Callithrix jacchus: one gene and its partner. The protein of the gene in region 2 purifies or fractionates together with the protein of the main gene of each other region. This does not show direct contact. Links are inferred from orthologs where the notes say so. Each region holds a gene or a part of one and is shown on either strand. Other genes may lie near its edges.

Region 1 (6,195 bases), on a different chromosome or scaffold from region 2:
TCCAGCCTGGGCGACAGAGTGAGATTCCATTTCAAAAAAAAAGGACAGGCCAAGATAGCACAGGAGAAGCAGCTAAGGATGGAACCGTGGGAAACTCTGCATATTAAAAAAAAAAAAAAGGCAAGGGAAACTGAGGCAGGAGGATTGACTGAGGCCAGGAGTTCAAGGCTGTGGTAAGCTATGATCGCACCACTGCACTCTAGCCTGGGTAACAGAGTGAGACCCTGTCTCAAAAAAAAAAAGGGGGCAAGAAAAGAGAGAGCCTGTGAGACACAGCTCAAGAGAGAAGGACGAGGAGAACAAGGGAAGGGAGTGACCTGGAAGCCAGGGGGGACAAAGATGTGAAGGAAGGAAAGAAGCGGGAAGGAGAGGGCTCGAGTCTGGGCTCTGCCACTTCTTAGCTGTGTGACTTTGGGCAAGAGACTTCACCTTTTTGAGCTTCCTCCACTGTAAATATAAAAGTGAATCTCCCTTCTGAGGTTCAAGGATCATCCTTTAGGGAGAGGAAAATGGAGAGGATGAGGGGAAAGAGAGAGGAGGAAAGGGAGGAGAAGAGGAAGGATGAGGGAGGAGGAAAAGGAAGAAGAGATGATGGAAGAGGAGAAGAAAAGGAAGAAGAGGAGGAGGAGGGCTGTTCTGAGCCTCTCCCCTCTGCTGCCTCCATGAGGGCCACCTTGCTTCCCCCATCCACTCAATTCATTGCTGCCTCAGGACCTTTGCACATGCTGTTCCTTCTACCTGGAATGCTCTCTGCACAGCAGTCTCCTCCCAGTCCACATATGAATCAAAGGAGAATGGGCACGAGCTGGAAGCTGCAGGAGAGGACAGGGGATGGAGGAGGGAATGGCAGGGTGGGGCTATTCACCAGGAGACCGCTCGGCCCACAAGGCCCTTGGGTGGCTTGGCTGGCACCATCTCCTTCTGGACCATGAAGTAGGGGTACAGCACATCAATGGGCAGCTCCACAAACACCGGACCTGCGGGGACGGGGATGACACTGAGTCTGCAACACGCCTCCCCAGCCCCTCAGCCCCAGTGCTGCTCAGCACCACCATCCTCCACCTACCTGGGGTGCCCGACTGGGCAGCAGCCATTGCGGCCCTGAGGGTGGGCACGATGTCCCGAACCCTCCGCACGGATGCACAGAACTTACAGAGTGGCCGAAACAGGGACAGCTGATCCACGGCCTGGAGCGCACCCCGGTTCTGGCAAAGACAGAGGTGCGGCAGGGTTACCACATGAGCCCTTTAAGTCCCCCTGGGCCCCCACTGGCCGCCATGGACTGGGTACCTGCAGCAGAGTGCTGGCGGCCCCACCCAGAAGCAAGACTGGGGAATGGGCCATCTGAGCGTTCTTCACCGCAGTCACTGTGTTGGTGAGGCCAGGGCCAGCCGTCACTGCTGCCACTCCCACCGTTCCTGGAACACAGAGCCCATCACTGCCACGCCCACTCTTCTGGCCATTCTCCCACCACTATTCTATCCAACAGTCCCCAGCCCTCTCTGCAATGCCCTCACCAGACAGGCGGGCAGTAGCATCGGCAGCAAAGACAGCTGTGACCTCATGGCGTGTGTCCACCACACGGATGCCCAGTTTCTCACAGGCCACCAGCAGCGGGGAAATGTGCCCACCGACCAGCGTGAAGACGAACCGCACGCCATGGGCCCTCAGCACAATGGCCACGTTCTCTCCGCCATGCCGGACGCTTGCCTTGTCCACCTGGACCCAAGGAGTGGGTGGAGCAATAGAGTCAAAGGCCACGCCAGAGGACAGCTGGGAGAGGGGGCAATCCCCCTGACCCAGGTAAGGGGGCAGGAGCAGGGTGGGAGGTCAAGGGAAGCTTAGTCTTGGTTAGGCATATATTACACTACACACCAGGCTCAAAGCAAGGCAAAGCGTCTTATCAGAATTTCTTGTCATTACATCTCTTATAGCTGAGGACATCAACACTTGCCCAAGCAAGATTGAAAGTCCAATAGAACCCACACTCTTAAGTGCCATACTGTTACACTTCCTGCCTCCGGGATGGCAAGGCAATCAGGGAGAGAGGAGAGGGTTATATAACCCAGGAGGTTTAGCCAGGGCACAAGGCAGAGAGCCATTTGCTATGACTCCTGCCTGCCCTCTAGTATTGCTGCAGGGCCTGGCAGCTGGACTGCTGATCCCAGCCTCCCTGATGCCCTCTTGATGGATGTTAAACTGCCCTGAGCCACCATGTGCCTGGCACGGGAGTTAGCTCCTGGCACACACTGTACCGAGGCCTCCCAACCCCAGCAGCCTCACAGTTCCGCACATCCAAGGCTTGCTTTAAATCTCCACAAGTCCTGAAGGTCAGTGGCATCACCCCTGGCTAGCAGAAGAAGGACTAGAGAAGGGTTTGGGGAGGGAGAGGTCAAACTTGGTCCCTGCTAGGAGAGAAAGGGTTGAGAAGGGGGTCTGCGGAAGGGGTAAATTTCAAACAGGTGTGCAAGTAGTTCGTGGGGGAGGCATGTGGGGCCACCTAGGGAAAACTACCACACAATCTCTCTGAGACTTAGCTTTCTCCTGCAGAAAATGAGGTCAGAAAGAACAGCATCTACTTTCAAGGAAAAGGTAAGGGGTAGGTAAGAAAGTCTAAAGTGTTGAACTCAGCAAAGGGCAACTGTCACGAAACTCACTGCCATCTCCTTGCTGGTGCCTGCCCTCAGCCCCATCTATCCCATCCAGTTTAGGGAGCACAATCAGAGTGCTGTCTGTGAAAAGAGCCACTGGGGAAGGAGGTAGGCGGGGTTTGAGTGCCCGGGCAGAGGCCGCTTCCGTGTTCTCTATCACTAGTGGCAAAGTTCAGGCCCCCATAGGCAGGCAGCGTGGCAACGGAGACAGGGTCATGGACAGAACCTCTTACCAGTCCCTCTGGGCTAGTCGGGACTCGCTTTCCCACGCTGCACAATGAGGAGTGAACTGGAAGCAGCGTCCCAAGGCCCCTCCCTCTTTGGCTACCACCAGCCCGCTTCCCATTCCTTGCCCCGCACCTTGTGCAGCAGCTGATAGAAGAGTCCCAGGCGGTGCGCGGCGCCCAGCAAGGCGGCCACCAGCGTCCCGCAGGCCAGGAGCAGAAAGAAGGGGAAGAAACTCCCGACAGGGGCGGCGGCCTCCGGGATCTCCATGAGGTGGCACCTGATAGAGAAAGAGCACTGCCCAGACTGGGGCGCGACAGTGATCTTATTCGGAAGAAATCGCGCCCCCTCCTCCAGCCCGAATCCAGGGCCACGCCCCTTGGCTCCAGTTTCGGTGCGGCCACACCCCCAACGCTGCCAGGCCACGCCCCTTGTGCGCCTAGGCACTGGGTGAGGCCGCCTCTCTGAGACAAAGTCACGCCCCACGCGGCGCTAACCCCAGTCCTTTACGTCACCACCACTCCCACCCAAACTAGCCACCACAGGTCACGGCGGTGACAACAGCACTACACAGTTATCTTCCACTTACCTACTTCTCAATGGACAAGCGGAAGCCCCGCCTCTCTTTCCACAACGGGACCCCAAATCTCAGCCCCACGTTACGTCACCTAGAGGAACGAGGTCACGCCCCCTGAGTTAGAAGGAGCGACCCTCTGCGCAAGCCACGCCTCTCCCTTGGAGAGCGCACTGGCCCAAGCCACGAGTCGAGGTCGCATCGCATCAGTATGCGGTTCTCCGTCACCAGCTCGACCGCCGAGGTTATTCACCTTCACCTCCAGGATAGGGCGCTGCCTCCACCAGAATTCGGACCCCCTCCGTGTCACGTGACCCAGGAGCGCAGCCGTGCCCCTTTCGGCCACTTGGCTCAGCGGCGTCCCGTAGTCCGGCCGGTGCGCCTGCGCAGTCGGAACCACGCTCGGGGGGCCACGCGAAAGAGCCTTCCCTCTACTGGCCGCCTCGCGCGCAGGCCCCACCTACCCTAGCCTTTCATTGGCTTGCACTGCAGGCCTCGAAGCGATTTTTTTTTTTTTTTTTTTTTAAACCAGGAGGCCACGCCCCTCAGCGGCTCCAGGAGCGAAGACCTTTGGGGACCCACCTTCCACAGCCTGCCATTGGCCCCACATTTGCAAGCCCTAGGTTCAGGTCCTCCGAACACAGCTTGCTTTCCACATCAGTGTGGCCAGACCACTGCACCCTAGCCTGGGCAACAGAGCAAGAAGACCGTGTCTCAAAAAATATAATAATAATGCTTAAAATGGTAGATTTTATGTTATGTGTATTTCCACACTATAAGTATTTATGCATGTATATATGTGTGCGTATGTGTGTATATTGTTTATAAAAGAAATAGTAGCCAGCAAAGGAAACCCAAATTGAGGCACATTCTACAAAATGCCTGACCAGACCTCCAAAACTGTCAAGGTCATGAAAAACCAAGAAAGACCGAGGAACTGGCACAGACCAGAGGAGGGAAAGGAGACGTGAGAACTAAGTTTAATATACTACTCTGGGCTGAATCCAGGTATCAAAAAAAGGACAAATTTGTGGATAAAGCTGGTGAAATGCAAATAAAGTCTGGAGTTGAGTTAATAGTAATGAACCAGCGTTCATCTTTTTGTGTCAGTAAATGTATCATGGTTATATAAGGTGTTAACATTCAGGGAAGCTTAAGAGTAGACAAAAATTGGGCCCGGTGTGGTGGCTTACACCTGTAATCCCAGCACTTTGGGAGGCCAAGACAGGAGGATTGCTTGAGGCCACAAATTTGAGACCAGCCTGGGCAACAAACTGAGACCCTGTCTCTCAAAAAATAGATAAATAAAACTGAGGGAGGAGAGGCCAGGCACGGTGGCTCACGCCTGTAATCCCAGCACTTTGGGAGACCAAGGCGGGTGGATCACGAGGTTAAGAGATCGAGACCATCCTGGCCAACATGGTGAAACCCCATTTCTACAAAAATACAAAAAAATTAGCTGGGCATGGTGGTGCGCACCTGTAGTCCCAGCTACTTCGGAGGCTGAGGCAGGAGAATTGCTTGAACCCAGGAGGAGGAGGTTACAGTGAGCCGAGGTCGCGCCACTGCACTCCAGCATGGCACCTGGTGATGGAGTGAGACTCTGTCTCAAAAAAAAAAAAAAAAAAAAAAACTGAGGCAGGAGAATCGCTTGAGCCTGGGCGACAGAGTGAGACTCTGTCTCAAAAAAAAAAAAAAAAAGGCAGAAAAATTGGCTGTTTGGGAGGCTGAGGAGGGAGGATCGCTTGAACCCAAGAGGTTATAGTGAGCTGTGATTGTGCCAAGCTTGGACAACAGAGCAAGACCCTGTCTCTTTAAAAAAAAAAGGGGGGGGGAATGGGGGAGGAGGAAACAAATACCAAGTATCTAAATTGATTGATATTTAAAGAGAAGTGCAACAAATTATAAAGTTAGAGGGATACAGTATGGGCATTTCTTAGCTAGGATGAGCAGGAGGACTCTCTAAGGAGGTGACAGTTGAGCAGAGAGACCAGGAGAAAGTGAGGGCATGGACCCCACAAGGATCTGGGGAAAGAGTAATCCAGGTAGAGGAGATGGCACATGCAAAGGCCCTGAGGTGGTTTGTTAATTTCCGTTAGTGGCCTTAACACATTACCACAAACTTAGTGGCTTCAAACAACAGGAATTAATTCTCTTACACTTCTGGAGACTGGAAGTTCGGCCTCGAGGCATCAGCTGGGCCACACATCTCTAAAGATCTCTAGGGGAGGATCCTTACCTCGTCCAACTACAAGGGGCCCCAGGCATCCTGTGGCGTGTGGCTGCAGCACTCCAATTTCTGCGTACATCTTCCGACAGCCTTATTCCCTGTGCCTGCACCTCCTCCTCTGTCTCTTACAAGGACACTTGTCATTGCATTTAGGGACCACCCTAATCCAGGAGAGCCTCATCTTGAGACCCCTCACTTAACTACTTCTTCAAAGGCACATTTTCCAAGTAAGGTCAAATTTGCAGGTTCTGAATGGACATTTGAGGGTCCACCATTCAACTCATTACAAACGGCATGGGATTTGCATGTGCAGAGAAAGTCAGGAAAGCCAGGATAGCTGGAAGAAAGAGAGCAAAGAGGAGGCAAGGAGGAGATCCCATCAAAGGGTAGACAAAGGACAGGCAGGTGTGATTTTACAGACTGCATGAGGACTGAGAATTTTATTCTAAGTGAACTAGAAAGCCAGAGAGGATTTTGAACAATATTCAACTGCACGCAACCTGCATGTGATTATT
Region 2 (5,451 bases):
TTCTGAAGCTTGACTTTTTTCCTTTTGCTCCTGCATCACATCTGGGCCTTAAATTGCCAGAAGTATGTAGCCTGCCTTTCATCATGTCTCTCTAGTGACCACCCCTTTTGAGTTGTCTAGGAAGTTCCTCTTTCCTGGCTCGAGCATTCAGCCTCATCTTCAAAGGAAAAATGACTAGCAGATCTTTAGTTCAATTAATGACAGTGCCCTTCCTGGTTCAGGTTTACCAGCCCTGCCTATGTCCCAAGATCCCTCTCTGCCTCATCCCTTAGGTATCCTGAGGCAAATTGTTTCCAGAAATGTGACTCCACAATTAAAGTAATTACTGCATGCTTAACATGTGCTAGACACTGCGCCAGGCTCTTTGTATACTGTCGAATATTAAAAACAATCCTACAAGGCAAGTACCACTATTATGCTCATTTTGCAGATAAGGACACTAAGATCCAGAGAGGTTTAGTAACATGTGTAAGGTCACAAGGTTGGTAAATGGAAAGGCTGGGATTCAGAACCATTTCTCTCTGTGGTGAAGAGCTTGTGGTCTTAACCATTATGTACCATTCCAACAAAATGAAAAATTATTGTATACAGTTGTCCCTCAGTATCCATGGTGGGGGCGGAGGTTGGGCCCAGCACCCATTACCCAAGGATGCTCAAGTCTTTTATTTGAAATGGCATACAGTATTTGCAGATAACCTATGCATAACCTTCTATATACTTTAAACCATCTGTAGATTACTTATAATACCTCATACATTGTTACATAAACCTTTGTCATACTGTGCAAGAAGTAACGTGTGTACGTATTCGGTACAGATGCACATTTTTTTTTAAATATTTTAGATTCAGTTGGTTGAATCCACAGATGCAGAACTGACAGATACAGAGAGCCGACTGTATACAATAAAAATATTTGGCATAGTTTGAACCAGGGAAAGGGATATTGATCCCTCATAGCTTCTACCATCCAAGAGCTTAAACTTTTTTTGAGAAAATAAGACTTAGGGGAAATGGAGACTGTGAAACCACATCAGGGCCAAAAGGAGAGGAATGGATAGTATACTGCAGAAAAAGGGACGGCGCTGCAGATTTCGCTCATTCCCTCCACATACATGCCTTCTGAAGAAGGGTGCATCAGTGAATTAGAAAATGTCCCTACCCTCAGAAGAATCCATAGAACAGTCAGGGACACACAATGGTCAGCCAATACATTATAACATAATTCACCAAATGCTAGAATAGAGGGGGAGGGGGGCACACAGAATGACTCACTACTAAAGGAAGAAGAGCAGGAGGAAGAGATGGCATTTGACCTAGGCTTTGAAGGATGAGAGGTTTCACCACATGGCAAATGAGCATGAGCACAGGCATGGAGGAGGGAATGTAGTATGCTCAAGGAAAAGTGAGTATTTTTATATGAGCACAATATAGGTGCTTGAACAGGTAATGAATCTGATGGGCAGGGAGAGGCCAGCTCAAGAAGGGCCTTGAAAGCCAAGTAAGAGTTGAGACTTCAGCCTGAAGGGCATGGGGAGTCACTGAAACATTCTAACCAAGGACTAACATATCTTCATTTGCCTGTGAGAAAAATCACTCTGCTACGACCCAGATGAAAAGGAGCAGAGAAAAAGCAGGAGATTGGTTTGGGCTTAAACGACACAGAAAAAGCATGAGATTGGTTTGGGCTTAACACCACCATAGTAAAGGGAGAGAAAGCTTAGGAGATAGATGGAGGGGGAGGCAGCAGGACTTGGTGATTCACTGAGCTTGGGGGATGACCAGAAGCTGATGGTGCAGTGGTAACAGTTGCAAGCTCTGAAAGGGGAGGAGCTGATTGGAGGGGAGAGAAGACTTAGTTTGTGTTGCCTGTGGGTTACCCCGTTCCAGCCTATCTGCCCTCTTAAGTTCACAGTGTGCCTGCGTCGGGAAGGGCAGACTGTGTACCAACAAGTCCTGTCCCTGGAGCGCCCAAGTGTCCTGCGCAGCTGGAACTGGGGCCTGTGTGGGTACTTTGCTTTCTACCACGCCCTCTATCCCCGAGCCTGGACTGTCTATCAGCTTCCTGGCCAGAATGTCACCCTCACCTGTCGTCAGATCACACCCATCTTGCCCCATGACTACCAGGTGAGACCCCCACATCTGTATCTTCCATTGCCCTCCCTTCCCCAGGACCTGCTTCTGCTAGAAACTGCATGGCCTGTGAAAGGGAGGTTGGAGCCATGAGCATCACGCTGGCTTCCCAGAACCACCGCCCAATTGGTTCTAGTCTTCTGTGTCCCCTGGTAGGCTGCTTGCCTGGGAATACGGGGAGACGCAAGTGGACAAAAAGAGTACGCTGGGGAGTATTTGAGTCAGGTCCCTGGTGCGCCCAGGACCGATCCTAAGAGAGTGGGGTCAGGAGGGGCTCTATGGGACTGTCTGAGTCTAACCTTCTGCCCCCAGGACAGCAGCCTGCCTGTAGGAGTCTTTGTGTGGGATGTGGAAAATGAAGGGGACGAAGATCTAGATGTGTCCATCATGTTTTCCATGCGGAATGGACTGGGGGGTGGAGACGATGCCCCAGGGGGTTTGTGGAATGAGCCCTTCCATCTGGAGCGTGATGGGAAAACTGTCCAGGGGCTGCTGTTGCATCATCCAACCCTTCCAAACCCCTACACAATGGCTGTGGCTGCACGAGTCACGGTAAGGAAAGAGCCTGCCCTATACCTTAGCCCCTGAATCCCACTCTTAGCCTAGCCCCTGTACCACCTCCACCCCAGAATGGTCACTTCATTCACCCTCATCATAGCCTGTAAGCCCCTGGGGCCTGGGAGGTGAGGGTAAGTAAGAGGAGCGGGGGAGCTAGCCGGGATTCAGTGTACTTGTAGAGCCTGCCCTTACAGTCCCTGGCCCCTTCACAGGCAGATACCACGGTAACCCACATCACAGCCTTTGACCCTGACGGCACGGGGCAGCAGGTGTGGCAGGATCTACTTCAGGATGGACAGCTGGATTCTCCCGCTGGTGATGGGGGGGTCTGACTGGGAGATGGTGGGAAGAGAGGTTGTCCCTGTCTTGGGACCAGGGGTGGGAGGCCTGTTAATGAGTAGGCCTTGTTTCCATGTTATGGATCCCTATCCCTGGGGCTGAAGTGGCTCCTGTCCTGAATCCTCTTGTGCTTCTCTCAGGCCAAAGCACCCCCACGCAGAAAGGAGTAGGTGTTGCTGGAGCTGTGTGTGTTTCCAGCAAGTTGCGACCTCGAGGCCAGTGCCGCCTGGAGTTTTCACTGGCTTGGGACATGCCCAGGATCATGTTTGGAGCTAAAGGCCAAGTCCACTACAGGTGAGGGGACCAAGAAAGTATAAGGATCCAAGGCACTGGGGCTCTGACCTGGGGCTTGTGTTCATCCATTTTTTTTCTACCCCAGGCGGTATACAAGGTTCTTTGGCCAGGATGGAGATGCAGCACCTGCCCTCAGCCACTATGCACTGTGCCAATACACAGAGTGGGAAGAGAGGATCTCAGCTTGGCAGAACCCAGTACTGGATGACAGGTGCCAGTGGGGCCCATCGCTTTCCTTTCTCCTAGGCACTCACTCCAAATGGGACTCCTCGATTCACTCTCCACCCACCAAAGTCAGTAAACTTACACGGGGATTCATTTGGTGCTACCACTCTGCTGAACCCCAAAATCCTTTCTGTCTTGGGAGGTACATGTTCCTTAAGCCATTTCCTCCCCCTCACTCCCCAGATTGTTGCCTGCCTGGTACAAATCTGCACTGTTTAATGAACTGTATTTCCTGGCCGATGGAGGCACAGTATGGCTGGAAGTTCGTGAGGACTCCCTACCACAGGAGCTGGATGGGAACATGTGTCACCTCCGCCCCACTCTACGGGATTACGGTCGATTTGGCTACCTTGAGGGTACAGGATGCTGGTGGGCTAGGATATGGCAGGCCATCCCCAAGGCAGGATGATGGATTTGCCTACCTCAGGGTATTGGTTAGGGTGAGGGGGTAAGTGACAGCGTCCCACCTCCAACTCTAGAGGACAAGGTAGAGAGGAGTTTGAAGGGGAAGCGGGAATTCTAGCAACAGAACTTGTCTCATTCATTCCTCCAGGCCAGGAGTACCGCATGTACAACACATATGATGTTCATTTTTATGCTTCCTTTGCCCTCATCATGCTCTGGCCCAAACTTGAGCTCAGCCTACAGTATGACATGGGTGAGGGTCCCTTTTGTGCCACTTCTGCCCTCTTGGCTGCCCATACCCTTGAACCTCTGTGATATCTCAGATTGTCTCTTCTTTCCCTTCCCTTCAAACCTATCTGCATGCTGCTTACTGGTTCCTCACTGGGGTCACACACATAGCTAAAGCCTGCCCATTCCCTGCCTCCATTGTGTATCTGCTCCCCTAGCTCTGGCCACTCTCAGGGAGGACCTGACACGGCGACGGTATCTGATGAGTGGGGTGATGGCACCTGTGAAAAGGAGGAACGTCATCCCCCATGATATTGGGGACCCAGGTAAAAGTCCACCACAAGGTCAGCTTCCCTCCCTCAACTTTTGCACCCTCTACCCTACTGACCAATGCAAATGACCCAGGTCCCCTCCTTTCCCACAGATGATGAACCATGGCTCCGGGTCAATGCATATTTGATCCATGATACTGCTGACTGGAAGGACCTGAACCTGAAGTTTGTGCTGCAGGTTTATCGGGACTATTACCTGACGGGTGATCAAAACTTCCTGAAGGACATGTGGCCTGTGTGTCTAGTAAGGGATGCACATGCAGTGGCTAGTGTGCCAGGGGTGTGGCTCGTGTTTGGGAACAACCTAGCTGGTTGTTACCTTTCCTCAGTACCTAGATCTTCAGTATCTTGGTCCCTCTCTAGGCTGTGATGGAATCTGAAATGAAGTTTGACAAGGACCATGATGGACTCATTGAAAATGGAGGCTATGCAGACCAGACCTATGATGGATGGGTGACCACTGGCCCCAGGTTAGCGGGTAGGGGTTTCCAGGAAGCCTGAGGTGGGAAACGGGCACCAAGGGATTGTAGGGCTCAAGAAAGAATGACTCATTCTTTGAGTCATCTCACTGCATGAGAGCTGCTGAAGCTGTCATTCTGACCCCCAAACCCATGTCCCTCATCAGTGCTTACTGTGGAGGGCTGTGGCTGGCAGCTGTGGCTGTGATGGTCCAGATGGCTGCTGTGTGTGGGGCACAGGACATCCAGGATAAGTTTTCTTCCATCCTCAGCCGGGGCCAAGAAGCCTATGAGAGATTGCTGTGGAATGGTGAGTTCGGGGAGCCTAAGTAGTCTTAAGGCAGCTGTGGGGACAACAGGAGCCTTATTTTGCACTTCCTTGACTCCAGGCCGCTATTACAACTATGACAGCAGCTCTCAGCCTCAGTCTCGTAGTGTTATGTCTGACCAGTGTGCTGGACAGTGGTTCCTGAAGGCCTGTG

The links.
Region 1: the proteins of GBA2 (region 2) and HACL2 purify together in Homo sapiens (co-immunoprecipitation; 3 studies listed by BioGRID and IntAct, counting the BioPlex papers as one, with this or other methods). This does not show direct contact. The link is inferred for Callithrix jacchus from reciprocal best matches to the Homo sapiens genes GBA2 and HACL2.

The regions. Positions count from the first base shown.
Region 1 is NC_133523.1:13,830,156-13,836,350, forward strand, and holds the start of HACL2 (2-hydroxyacyl-CoA lyase 2), read right to left. Parts: upstream 3,815-6,195; 5' UTR 3,704-3,814; intron 3,545-3,703; 5' UTR 3,466-3,544; intron 3,176-3,465; exon of another isoform or gene 3,157-3,175; 5' UTR 3,147-3,156; coding exon 3,012-3,146; intron 1,720-3,011; coding exon 1,518-1,719; intron 1,419-1,517; coding exon 1,291-1,418; intron 1,206-1,290; coding exon 1,067-1,205; intron 978-1,066; coding exon 866-977; intron 1-865. UniProt on the Homo sapiens protein: Endoplasmic reticulum 2-OH acyl-CoA lyase involved in the cleavage (C1 removal) reaction in the fatty acid alpha-oxydation in a thiamine pyrophosphate (TPP)-dependent manner. Involved in the phytosphingosine degradation pathway.
Region 2 is NC_133502.1:142,643,724-142,649,174, reverse strand, and holds part of GBA2 (non-lysosomal glucosylceramidase), read left to right. Parts: intron 1-1,905; coding exon 1,906-2,124; intron 2,125-2,442; coding exon 2,443-2,682; intron 2,683-2,900; coding exon 2,901-3,003; intron 3,004-3,167; coding exon 3,168-3,321; intron 3,322-3,406; coding exon 3,407-3,532; intron 3,533-3,729; coding exon 3,730-3,902; intron 3,903-4,099; coding exon 4,100-4,204; intron 4,205-4,397; coding exon 4,398-4,505; intron 4,506-4,603; coding exon 4,604-4,755; intron 4,756-4,874; coding exon 4,875-4,981; intron 4,982-5,136; coding exon 5,137-5,279; intron 5,280-5,358; coding exon 5,359-5,451. UniProt on the Homo sapiens protein: Non-lysosomal glucosylceramidase that catalyzes the hydrolysis of glucosylceramides/GlcCers (such as beta-D-glucosyl-(1<->1')-N-acylsphing-4-enine) to free glucose and ceramides (such as N-acylsphing-4-enine).